Linked DNA regions of Sus scrofa. Each later gene encodes a partner of the first gene's protein in a complex. Links are inferred from orthologs where the notes say so. Each region holds a gene or a part of one and is shown on either strand. Other genes may lie near its edges. The genes, in order: ARPC1B, ARPC5L and ARPC5.

Region 1 (3,361 bases):
TAGAATGTGCAACCGCCTGTCTAGGAGTCCAGCAGCAGAATGAGTGGCGGGAAAAGACAACCGGTCCTGGCAGCTCCCAGGCTGGACTCCACGCAGGGAGGAACCACACTGGGGAGGTTTAACCATCTTGGGTGTAACGAGCAGCTTTGCTGGCAAGCAAAAGTAAGCTACCAAAGTTCTGCCCAAACTAACCCTCCTTCTAGACACAGGAACGTTGTCTCTACAGCTGCATTTTTATTACCACCTTGTTTGAAGCAGTTCGTGACCAGCAGAGTGCTTGGGGGACTTTTTTTTTTTTTTTTACAATAAATGAAAGCATTTCCTTAAGAAAAAGGCAACTGTTCCTTCAATAGGTAAGAAAAGCCTCTCCCACCCCCACCCCCAGGGAGCAGCATCTGTGGGGACCCGGACTGGTACCCTAGAAACATTCAGCACAGCGATCCTTAGCCTTCCCGACCCTCTTCCCCCAGCAGCTGGGATGAGGGCGCAGACGCCTCACGGGTCATTTGATCTTGAGGTCCTTCAAGGCTGACTCCAGGCTCTGGAAGGAGACAGAACAGACAGGCTGGTTCTCAGCTGTGCTGCAGACACCCTACCGAGGGACCTGAGCAGGGACAGGGCACCTGGTCTTCGGATTCAGGCAGACCTGGGTTTGGATCCTAACCCTAAAGAAAGGTGCCAAGGCCCAGGTGGCAAGGGGCTACCGCTCCACCCCCACCCCCAGGCCCCCCTCCCATCACGTGCCCTTCTGCAGGAATGAGGGACTGGGGCATCCCGGCCTGCTGCCAGGGAGAACGGGTGGGGGAGGGGAGAGGGCCCGGGGTGGCCTCACCTTCACGTCCCAGATGCTCATGCCACCGTCCATGCCCGTCGTGCAGAACTGCGAGCACTTGGCCTTCCCTCCACTGAGCACAGAGATCTGGCTGCAGAGGGGAGGAGAGCTTTACAGATCCCCGCCTGTGCCCATGCGAGACTCCCACCCACCCTGCCCTCCAGGAGCTCCCGGACTTCTGGGGAGCCTGCTCCAATGAGGGACGTGTGCCCAGCAGGGACAGCCCAGGAGGCGGGCTGTGAAGGATCCCAGGACCCGGCTCCTGCGCCCGCTTCAGGGATGCGCAGTAGTGAGCAAGGAGCGTGCCAAGAGCTCAGGACACGCGTGGCTGGGGCTTAGAGTGACAGAGGCGTGCTACCAAGTGGAAACGAAGCCACACTTCTCCCTGTAACCTGCCGTGGGGTGGACCCCTGTGGCTGGCTTGGAAGGACCTGGCGGGGGGTGGGGGGGGCGCTCCGGCCCCGTTTCACTCCAGTTCCTCAAGGAGGTGCCGCCGGGCCCTCAGTCCCGCCCCGCTCCGCCCCTCCAGGTTCTAGAACGAGACCCGCTTCCCCTGGGGCCCGCTGGTTACCGCCTGGAGACCCCCGCCCTCCGAGGCCCCACAGCGAGGCTGCCTGCTCCGCGCTCCGCTGAGGCTCTTTTTGCGCAGCCTCGAGAGTCTGAGCCGCTTCCGAGGCGGCGGGTGGGAGCGGAGCCGCCCGGCGCGCTCACCTGACGCTGTTCTTATGCAGCGAGTCCAGGCCCGCGCCCGCCGCCGCGCTGCCCTCCGAGCTCGCCTTCTTGTCCAGGTTCTGGAAGCGCTCGCGGGCCGTCAGGCCGCGCTGCGAGCTTTGCTTGGGCACGTCCAGCCGCCCCCCGAAGCTCAGCGTCCCCGCGGCGCCGTCGTAGGTAAACAGCACCGGGAAGCAGTCGTGGCCCTGTGGCGGGGCGGGGTGCCCATGGAGCGCCGGCCGAGGGCAGGCGCGGCGCCCCGTTTTCCACCAAGGGAGATGGGCCCAAGGGGAGGCACAGTGGGGGGACGGGGGGTAGGGGGCAATCCAGCCATGAATCTGGGGGTCCCAGAGGCCAGATTCAGAACCTGGATGCAGCACCAGGAAGCGGACGACAACTCAGAAACAAAGCCACCCACCCTAGGTAGAGTAAGAGGGACCAGATGTTGGGGCTGAGCATCTAGGAGCAGCCCCTCCACCAGTAAGGCCAGCTTCTAGCTGAGAGCGCTTGTCTGGGACTCCCCTGGGACGTCCTGCTGGGACGGTTACATTTGCTCTGGGAGAGACCCCACAGCTGGACGTGTCTCTAGGCAAAGCAGGCCTGATCTCCCTCTGGGAGGGTAGGTTTGCTGAGGCCTGAAAAGAGGCTTGCTAGATGGGGGGCCAAGTAGAATATCCAGTAGAACTGTCCTCCCGCTACAGGTACCCATTCCTGAGTGAGGTGTGGCCTTGTCACTTGCATGGGCCAAGAGGATGTACACAGACAGGTTAGGACCCAGGGCCCAGGTCTCCACTTCCCCCGCCTCACCCCGGAGACAAAGCCTCCATCTACGGTGAGCAGAGGCCCCACCCAGCACCCACGCTGGACATTCAAACTGAGCGAGAAATACACATTTACCGTGTGGAGCCACTGCAACCGGAGATTTTCTTAACCTATTCTGACCAATAAAGATGGATGGATGGATGGATGGGAGGGAGACAAGAAGGACGGAAAGCAGAAGCGGGGACAAGCAGAGAGCTGCCTGGGCATCTCCAGGCTCTCTGGGAGACCTGCGGTCACCGGTGACTGCCCCGTCCCCCCTTACCGCTGCCACCAGACTGTTTTCCGTGATGAAGGTCAGAGCCAGCAGTGGTAGCGTTTCAGAGGCCAGAGTCGCCACGCTGAGTGAGAGAGAAATGTGAGTCCCCCCGGCCCCTCGTGTCCAGCACCTTGGTTGCCGCCCCACCTGCTCAGGTGACCTGTACTCACGCCATCTTCTTGTCGGCATCAGCCAGGCACACGGTGCTGTCATGACTGACCCAGGCCACGCGGCTACCACTGGCTGAAAAGCAGACGCCATGCACCCAGCCGCAGCTACTGCTGGACTCAAACATCAGCTCCCCGAAGGGCATCTTGGAGCCCCAGGGGGTGGGTGCTGGCCGCTCCTCCACCTCCTTGATGTAGGCTGAGAAGATCCTGCCAGGACAGGCAAATTAGAGGGTGACTGGGCGTCTGGGAGGGGCCCCACCAGGGACTCCCTCTCCCAAACCGGCCCGGCCAAGTGTGTGGGTGCCCGAGCCAGCTTTTCATGACCTGCACCTTCACGATCACCGGGACACGTCTGGGTCCAGGGACTCCCAGGGCCCTCGAGCCCACACCTGTGGACTGACCAGCCACGGCTGACGCAGCCCAGGACATGTGCTGGTGCCCCTCATGCTGGCCCCATGCTCCACAGCCAATCCCCAGCTTGCCTCCTCCCTCCTGCCCTGCACCTTGGACCAATCCGCGTCCACTCCTGCCCAGCCCTCTCCCAGCGTAACCCTCATCTCCATCCCAGGG
Region 2 (4,163 bases), on another chromosome or scaffold:
ACTCAGCACCTAGTCACCTGTAGATCAGGGTTTCTCAACCACAGCACTGCTGACATTTTAGACCAGATGACTGATGTAGGGTCTACCCTGTGCATCATACAATTTACCAGCATCCCTGGCCTCTCTGCACTGGATCCCAGTAGCACCCCCCAAGTTGTAACGATCAAAATATGTCCAAAAATAGACAAATTTCTTTAGGGGGAGGAGAGTGCAAAATCACTCAAAACCACTGCTCTTGCCAGATTCCCGCTCCAAGGGACCAAAAGGTACCTCAGCAAGCAAGAAAAGGATCTAGTGCTTAAAAATCCCTACAAGGGCTCAGAGCCTGTGCCCAGGTGTTTTCACATGTAATCTCATCCCTGCTAACAGTTCTTTGTGACAAGAGTGATTATTCTGATTTTAAAGGCAATGAATCTGAGGCTCAAAGAAGGAAAATGACCTGCCCAGGGTCACAAAGCTAAGCTGTCCAGGTGGCCTTCAAACCCAAGTATGCCTGATTCCAAAGCCAAGCTCTTTCTACAACCTCTGGCTGCCACGCCACGCACAGACCCTAGGTGCACATCCAGGACACTTGCTGTGTGTCCAGCCCTGTGCTGAAGCCTTCTGGCATGTTGTCCGGTGATGCCGCTGTTGAACCTGTAAGCCAAGCTTGGTTCTCCTCCCTTTCACAGAGGTAGATGCCGAGGGTCACAGAGCGAATGAGATCTGCTCAAAGTCACAGAGCCAGAGCATGACTGAGCTGGGTGTGTGCGGATGTGCAGCCCATGCTCCATTTCATCTGTGTGATCTCCCATCACCACAGGCCTCCCTCTACGCACTAGGACAGGCTTACTCCCCACACCCCCGTCCCCCATCAACGCCTATCCCTACTCCCCTTGCTCTGTCCTAAGACTCCTAGAAACCTGTTCTATAGTTTATTAATCTAATGTAAATCCAATACCTGGCACACGGTAAGGACTCAGCAAATATTAGTTCCTTCCTCCTCCCTTCCCGGCCCTACATTTGCCAGGATTTCCGTTCTCATCTGCTAACCTCCCTTTCCCCAATCCCAAGAAGTACATCCTCCGTGGTAACCAGGTTTCTGACACTGCCATTAGTGAAGAAACTACCATCCCCTGCCTCCAAGCAGCCTCAAGGAACCTATCACATCAGAAGCATAACCAAGACATGACCTTTGATAAGTCCCTACAGCACCAGGACGAAGACAGCAGATAAACAGGCCTTGTTCTCCCCTTCTGTGGATGGTCTGAGCCACAGGCCTGACTCTGGAGCCCTTTCGGCAATGCCTGCCCACAGGCCAGGTTCTGCACCAGACTGCAGAATCAAGGTTCCCTCATGGGTACCTTCTCATAACTCCATTTCACCAATGGGGTAAGAAAGGTGATCCTGATGGGGCAGGAAATCCAAGTTTGAATCCCCATCTTTGAAAACACATTTGTTCAAACAAAAAATGTCTGAAGGTTTTTGTTTCAAGGCCCACTGGAGGAACACTGCAGGACTCCTCCCAAAGGCAGTCAAATGGGTTCGACTTGCCAAGCTGAGTCAAATGATTAAACACCCAGAACCTGATTTATATACAGTACAGCCTGAGCCTCCAACCTTGCCCTGGCAAGTGCGGGGGAGGGGTGGGCACTTCCTGTAACACTATTTGAATAAAGAAAAATCCTTCCTGTGAGAATAAGTCAGTTTCCTGTGCTCAAACTGCTAAGCGACCAAGCAGGCTGTGACAACCACCTCTATTTTTAATCTTGTTTTCTAAATGCTTGTTTTCTGTGACCACAGAAGACTCATTTCCAGTCGTGGGGCTCTACTTTTACATCTCACTTTACGTTGCCTGGTTTTTCTTAGCTCTAAACTACTAGTTTTTTCCACTGCTTTCTGAACAAGAAGGCTATTGGGGGGAAGGAGCCAAGACTCACTTGTTGAAAGTGGCTAAGACCATGGAGGTCCAAAGCCCAACGGTTGTAGGAAAGTACGAAGAGGTGAGAAAGAGGGGCATCAAGCTGGAACGTTCAGAACGATTCTGGGATGGGAGATGGAATCGCAGACCTCAGGGCCGGACTAAGGCTAAGGCTGCAGCCTTCGCTCCCACGTGGGTCCTTTCTTCCCCGAAGCCACCCACCCACCTATTTTCATGTGGTGCTGCAATCCAGCCCGAGAGGACTGTGTCTGGGAGCCGCCCTGGCCTCTCAATTACTCAGCGGTAGCTCACCTTGGCCCCTCCCGCCGATCAAGCCCGAGAATGGCCCTGTTTCCTGCCTGGGAGAGATGGAGTGACAGGGCACCCAAGGAAGGGCCAGCCTGAGAGGGATGAGGAGGCAAGGGGGAGGAAAGAGGAGAGGCCTCGCAGAGGAGGGGCCAGCCGAGCCAGACGCCAGTCCGGCATGCTGCTGGGGCCGCCGAGCAAGCCGGCCCACCAGGATACAGGGGCTCCAGGGGTCCGGGCCGGGGACAAGGGAAGTAGAGAGGCCGGGTGAGAGAAGTGGGGATGCCTGGTCCGAGGGGAGCTGGATCGGTAGGGAGCTGAGAGACTGACCTGAGGGAACCACGGATGAGAGAACTGGGGAGGTCGGCCTGAAGGGCCGGAGCCGGGGATGAGGGGAGTGGGAAGGCCAGGCCAAAGGGGAGCCCAGGCCGCCGCGCTGGGGAAGGATATTGCCGCAGGAGCCCGTCCACTTCGCTAGGGTCCGGGCCTGGCTCGGCCGCCGCCGCCGCCGCCTCCTCCTGCTCGTCCACGAATTTGTTCTCATCAAATTCATCGATGTCCACTCGACGGAAGCGCGAGGACAATGTGTTCCGGGCCATGGCGGGGGCTCGGCGCCCGCTCAGCCAGCTCCTCTCCGGGGCAGACCTCCACTCCACTCCGCTCGGAACCGGCTCCGGCTCGGGGGCGGGAAGCGGCGACCCGGCACCTCCTCCACCTCCTCCGCGCGCAGCCGCAGCTGCCCGCCCACTTCCGGGCCACGCCGGAACCGGAAGTGCCGGTAGGAGGGATGGGCGGGGTGTGGCGGGAAGCGCCGAGAAGCTGTTCTGGAAGACGGCCTTGTGACTCTCTCCGGGACTCCTATCTTCGTGTAGCCTAAGTCTTCCTGACTGGGAAACAGGCGCCCAATCCCGCGAAGGCTCAGCACCTGGGCGGCGCCATAACTGCACTCTTCTTCGGCTTCGTTCCTGCACCGGAGGAGCCCCTGGCTCTGGAAGGGGCGAGGGCGTGCATGGTCGGGGACTCTGGGTGTCATCACTGTCCAGATTGAGGGGGCATGGGTCACCGGGAGAAGAGACCCAGCGCTGCCTGCCGAGTGCTGGATAGGTTTCTTGGAGAAGAAACCTATCCAGCTGAGGCCTGAAGGATGAGTAGTAGTTCTTGTGCCCAGGGAGTGACGTAGGGTTAGGAGAACGTATGGTCTCAGATTTTAGGAGTTTCGGACGCTACCTTACTGAGCTTAGAGGAGGTTGCTTTTGCCTTACTGTTGTAGTGACTCTTGTTAATGTACTGGGAGATTTTAAAGACGTTTAAAGTGTGTCCAGGGTGCTGACAAGACAGTGAAGGCATTTGGACCTCAGTATTCTGAGCCCTGCGCGTGAAGCAGTCACCTTGACCGAGGGGGAGGTGGGCAGGGATAGGGAGATGGCCCAGTGGCCACCCTTCTTGCGGAGGGCGAGGTCTTGGGGCCTGAGAAGTCTTGTCTGGCTGGAGCAGTAAGGGTCTCCCCAGTCTGAGATGGGGAAGGTTGAGCAGAGCACAAATACGGCAGAGTCAAGTGCTACTCTGTGGTGCGTGGGCTGTTGCTTGAGGGGTTCTGTTAATGAGCCTTAGCCTTAGACTACATTGGGTCTTCGTTTTCATATGATAGTACTCTTTTTTAATGAAGACCTGTAGTTAGTGAAATGACCCGTTTCATTGCTTCAAATACTTCTCATGAACTGTCTCTACAGATCAAAAAATTTTGCCAGACTAGGATGCTATCTAGGGTGTTAAAGACAGACTCCAACAGGAGTTCCCTGGTAGCTCAATGGGTTAAGGATCCAGCAGTCTTACTCCTGTGGCAAGGCTTCTATCCCTGGCCTGGGTACTTCCGCATGCAAAACAACAGCAAAAGACTCCTACAGTGGGATAGGTGCTGAATAAAAGTCCCAGGGGTCCTGGAAAACTTGCCTTTCAG
Region 3 (4,229 bases), on another chromosome or scaffold:
AACAAAGATCTCCTGGTTGGTCATTTAAACTTAGTGTGTACACCATGCAGCATTATCACAACTCAATGTTAGGCTGTTTTTCTATATATTAATTTTCTACCAATCCAACTACATTGTAAGCTCTTCTCTGTCAGAGAGAGTAGTTAAAATATTTGTTGATTGTGTGATACTTTAGAGGGTTTTGGTAAGAATGCTAAGATAACAGCAGAGAAGACAACTCACCTTCACCGCCTGACTCTTGGTATTGATAGGGGGGTTTTTCAGAGCTGCCTGTAGGGCAGCTGTCATGTTTCCTGTGAAGGAGGTTAAGGGATATAGCAGCAAAGGGCAGCCCTCAGGAAAGCACTATGACTCCCAGGAACCAATGGTTCTTCAGATTTGACATTATGCATCAAAAGAAAAGTACTAAAGTCGCTATGCTTAATACTGGAAAATTCAGCATGTTGGTTGCAAGGATGTCAATCAAAGATAAAATACTGAGGAAGAAAAAGGGAGAACAACACATTTTTTAAAATCAAACAAAAACTGTTTCATCCTTGGCGCTAATTATTAATTGAACACCTGGATAATCTTCCATTTGCCAGGAAGACACATGTGCAAACCATTATGTAGTGATCATTTTTAAAATTCTAAAATATATACCAGAATTATTTGGCCCCCAAATGAAACATCCTATCCTCAGCCAAAATATGTCCTTTTATGTGACTCTAACTGGAAAAATAAAGACCAAACTTTAACTAGAATTATATTCTATATAATGAAATGCTAACAGAACGTGCTGGCAGATCACTCTAGCAATCTGAATGATATACATTAGCAATCTCCCAATACTGATGACAAGAGGCATCATAAGAAGATATAGCAATTCAATGACCCTTAGGTGTCAGCTTAATTTTTCTCTTTTGGATGTTTGCTCTCACAGTTCATAAAGGTCATTCAAACTACCTTAGGCCACACCTATTACATTTAGTCTCACTTGAAAGCACCAGTGAGTTAGCAAGTATGAGAAACAGAAGGCCAATCAGACTGTCAGAATGTACAGTTATTTCCCTAAAAGGAAAACCACAGAGTTCTCTTGTTCCTCCATCTGTGGTGCCTGATAGGGCTTGTCTCTTCTTGTAACAAGAGTAGAAGAGACAGTAAGACAGCATCTTTACATTTTAAGATGAACTGATTTAAAAAGCAGATCCACTCTGTGGATACAGCAGTACCATTTAAGAGTCATCATCGTTATCTAAAATGTTAGTCTCATGAAACATCATTTTTTCATCACAAAGAATGTTTTTAGACAGACATCATTTATATTCTGAAGGAAAAGGTCTGACCAAAAAAACTATGGTTGTTGGTAGACTGTTATTTTCAAGGCTTAATGGACTTCTAGAGAAGCACGCCTTCTGCAGACTGGTTCACTTATAAGACCCCAAACACTGAAGTATTTAAATAATGCAAAACAGCAACAGCTGATTGTGAAAGTCAGAGAAATCAAAGAAACATCTGTATGTTGACAAATGTTTAATGCTGTACTTTAGGTGCCTCTAAGACCAGCTGTGGTTGTGACCAAATATTTTCGCTCATATATTTCCACGTTGAATTTAATAGGACACTGAGGCGGAAAGAGTCTAAAAAGCCTTCCTTACCTTATGAATACACCCAAGGATAATGAGAAATGAGTGGGTCAGTAATTGAGAATCTTTGAAACTACAGCTTTGGTTATTGTAACATTTACATTTTCCTAAAAAAGATCTGATGCCAATACTCCCTCAAAGTCATGAATATTCAAATATGCAAAACCAAAACCCAGGAACTGACAGACACATTTTAACTAAAAGGGAAACGATTCCAGGATTACAAAATGCTTCTGTTTTGCGCAAATGATTCATTTTCTTCTATTTTATTCATTGGGGTTTATTTTAAATATTTCCAGGGATTCTCCACATGCATTCCCCGTCTTCTTTCTACTGTCCTTTGCTTAACAGGTAAAAAGCTCCCAGATTCTTTCTGGGGAGCTGCGGTGGTTTTGCACTCACTCCCTTTTCCCCAGGTAAAAAATTCTGTGCAATCTATATTTTGCCAAATCCCTGTCTCCTAAAAAAGAGCCCCCGGACTGGAAGGACGGAGGGGGCCTCAACCCTGCAAACCGCCCCATCTCTGCTGGCAGGAAAGAATCTATCCTAATGCTGCCAAAACAAAACCACTACCACGATGAAAACAAAATCACTGAAGAAAGACGCCTGTTCTCTCAATCAGACTCGGGAGCTAATGAGACCCGGGTAAATACCGTTCTGGGAGGACAACTTAAGCGCCGCGCAGCAGTCCGACTGACCAGCTGCACCGCCGCGAGGGCGCGGCCGGCCCCGCGGAATTCCCGGAGGCGAGAACTCCTGGCGCAACCTGAGGAATCCGGGGAGTGGACGGCGCGCCGGAAGGGCAGGTTCCCGAGGGCTGGACCCTGGGGTCTCGGGGCGAGTCGGTAGGAATGGGAGAGTCCCCTGCCCTCTGAGAACCCGTGACCCCCAAAGAGACCGGGTGGAGCCGTGGGCACTGGGAGCAGCTCCGCGCCCGGCTCCCGGCCGGGGCCCGCCCCCCTCACCCCCTGCCCGCAGCGGGTCCCGGAAGAAGGGCCAGGTGGGGTGGGGGGGCGGCGAACAGAAGGATATTGCCGCAGGCAGGAGTCCACCTCGCCCTCGTCGGGCCCGGCCTGCCCGTCGCCCCCGTCTTCCTCGTCCACGAACTTGTTCTCGTCGTACTCATCCACGTCTACCTTCCGGAACCGGGCCGACGACACCGTGTTCTTCGACATCCTCGATCCGGACCGGCGGCCAAGGCCTCCCCTCGGTGCTGCCTCTACCTTAGCAAGCCCAACCCGGCTGGCACCCGCAGACTGCCGCCTTCACTTCCCTCTTCCGCTCAGAGGCGTCGGCCGGCAGCCCCGGCCCGGGTGGTTCTGGGCCTGCGCGCTGGCGGCGCCTCTTCCTTCTCAGGAACGCGCTCTCCTCCAACCCTCCTCCACCACCCCCACGGCCCCCTCCCAGCCCGGGAGCGCAGGAGGGAGGGAGCGCGCTGGACGCAGTGCGCAGGTGCGGACTCGCTGCAGGAAAGGGGCGGGGCTGGGTGAAGGAGGCGGGGGCGGGAGGGGGCGGGGCAGGGGAGGGCAGAAAGCGGCGCCGCGGGCAGAGGTAAGAGGCGATTGGGCGTCCACGTGCGTCACGTGATCCCTGGGGGGTTTCCATAGAAACGCTTCTCTGCGGTCCAGCCTAGGGGGTCTTAGGTTGGCGGCGATGGGCTCGGAGGGCGGGTGGCCTTGGCTTGTGCTGCCACTGCCGCCGCCAACGACCTGCCATCGGTGTCCTGCGTAAGGTCCGGCTGGCACGGACTTGCCTGTGAGGTGGGATGGACTGGTTGCCGGACCAAGTCCCCTGCAGTTGACAGGAGTATGAGGCGGAGTGATGCACGCCCAGTCGCCCAGCATCGTTCTAGTTGTCAGAGACGTCGCTTCAGACCGTACGCCGACTGTGGCTTCGTTCCAGAGCCGGGAGCCTCTTTTTCGCGATTGGAACTACGCTGTGCGGCCAGCGGGGAGTCCCCAAGGACAGAGTCGAAAGGTCATATCTTATCTGTCAGTGCTGTGTAACAGCATCTCGACTGCACCTGCAGAATCCGAACTAGGTATCATAACCTTTGGGAAGGAGGGGGAGGTGTCTGGGCAGGGGCTGGGGTCTCGTGACAAGACTGGGATAAACCTGTGGAATTTGGGGTAGGGTCAGTCATTGACATCTTAAAATAACTGGTTGTTTGGAGCAAGAATGTTAGAAAAGAGTAGGGGCGAGTTACACTCTTTTGACGCCGAGGGAAAACAAAATGTGTAAGGATTAGTGGAAACCAAGCCTTTAAAATTTATCTTTGCCGTTTAAGATTTATATGATCCCGCTAGGCCAGCTTTTTATTATATTTGACATCCCCATTTCTGAGAGCAAAGCTCTTATTGAGCAGGTAAAAGCACTAAAACTGAGGGAATGGTTGTTGGGCTATGTGTATAGCACTGAAGTAGAAGTATTTGCAGAATAAAATTATTTTGGACATTTGTCAGGTCTAGTTTAATTCCACCTCTAGCAGAGGGCTGGCTGTTGCCCTGTTAAACCTCAATAGTTCGTTTCCTGTGCTGTAATTGAAAAGAGTACTGGGCTTAGAATCAGAGAACCCTGGCTTGAGTCCTGACTCTTCCTTGCACT

What was found.
Region 2: the proteins of ARPC1B (region 1) and ARPC5L are in contact, whole or in part, in a cryo-EM structure (PDB 6YW6), measured with the Homo sapiens proteins. The link is inferred for Sus scrofa from reciprocal best matches to the Homo sapiens genes ARPC1B and ARPC5L. Residues at the interface, in NP_005711.1 of Homo sapiens: Arg118, Lys138, Arg142, Phe164, Ser201, Gly203, Trp204, His222, Asp223, Ser224, Thr225, Leu240, Ala241, Ser242, Glu243, Thr244, Leu245, Pro246, Phe281; in NP_112240.1 of Homo sapiens: Asn21, Lys22, Arg102, Gly139, Leu140, Gly141, Ile144, Arg145, Thr148, Arg150, Lys151.
Region 3: ARPC1B (region 1) and ARPC5 share a complex: the UniProt entries of both Homo sapiens proteins name them as parts of the arp2/3 complex. The link is inferred for Sus scrofa from reciprocal best matches to the Homo sapiens genes ARPC1B and ARPC5.

The regions. Positions count from the first base shown.
Region 1 is NC_010445.4:6,339,495-6,342,855, reverse strand, and holds the end of ARPC1B (actin-related protein 2/3 complex subunit 1B), read right to left. Parts: intron 2,999-3,361; coding exon 2,792-2,998; intron 2,704-2,791; coding exon 2,628-2,703; exon of another isoform or gene 1,750-2,627; coding exon 1,544-1,749; intron 924-1,543; coding exon 833-923; intron 542-832; coding exon 503-541; downstream 1-502. UniProt on the Homo sapiens protein: Component of the Arp2/3 complex, a multiprotein complex that mediates actin polymerization upon stimulation by nucleation-promoting factor (NPF).
Region 2 is NC_010443.5:265,644,442-265,648,604, reverse strand, and holds the start of ARPC5L (actin-related protein 2/3 complex subunit 5-like protein), read right to left. Parts: upstream 2,806-4,163; coding exon 2,657-2,805; intron 1-2,656. UniProt on the Homo sapiens protein: May function as component of the Arp2/3 complex which is involved in regulation of actin polymerization and together with an activating nucleation-promoting factor (NPF) mediates the formation of branched actin networks.
Region 3 is NC_010451.4:124,845,107-124,849,335, forward strand, and holds the start of ARPC5 (actin-related protein 2/3 complex subunit 5), read right to left. Parts: upstream 2,801-4,229; coding exon 2,658-2,800; intron 296-2,657; coding exon 223-295; intron 1-222. UniProt on the Homo sapiens protein: Component of the Arp2/3 complex, a multiprotein complex that mediates actin polymerization upon stimulation by nucleation-promoting factor (NPF).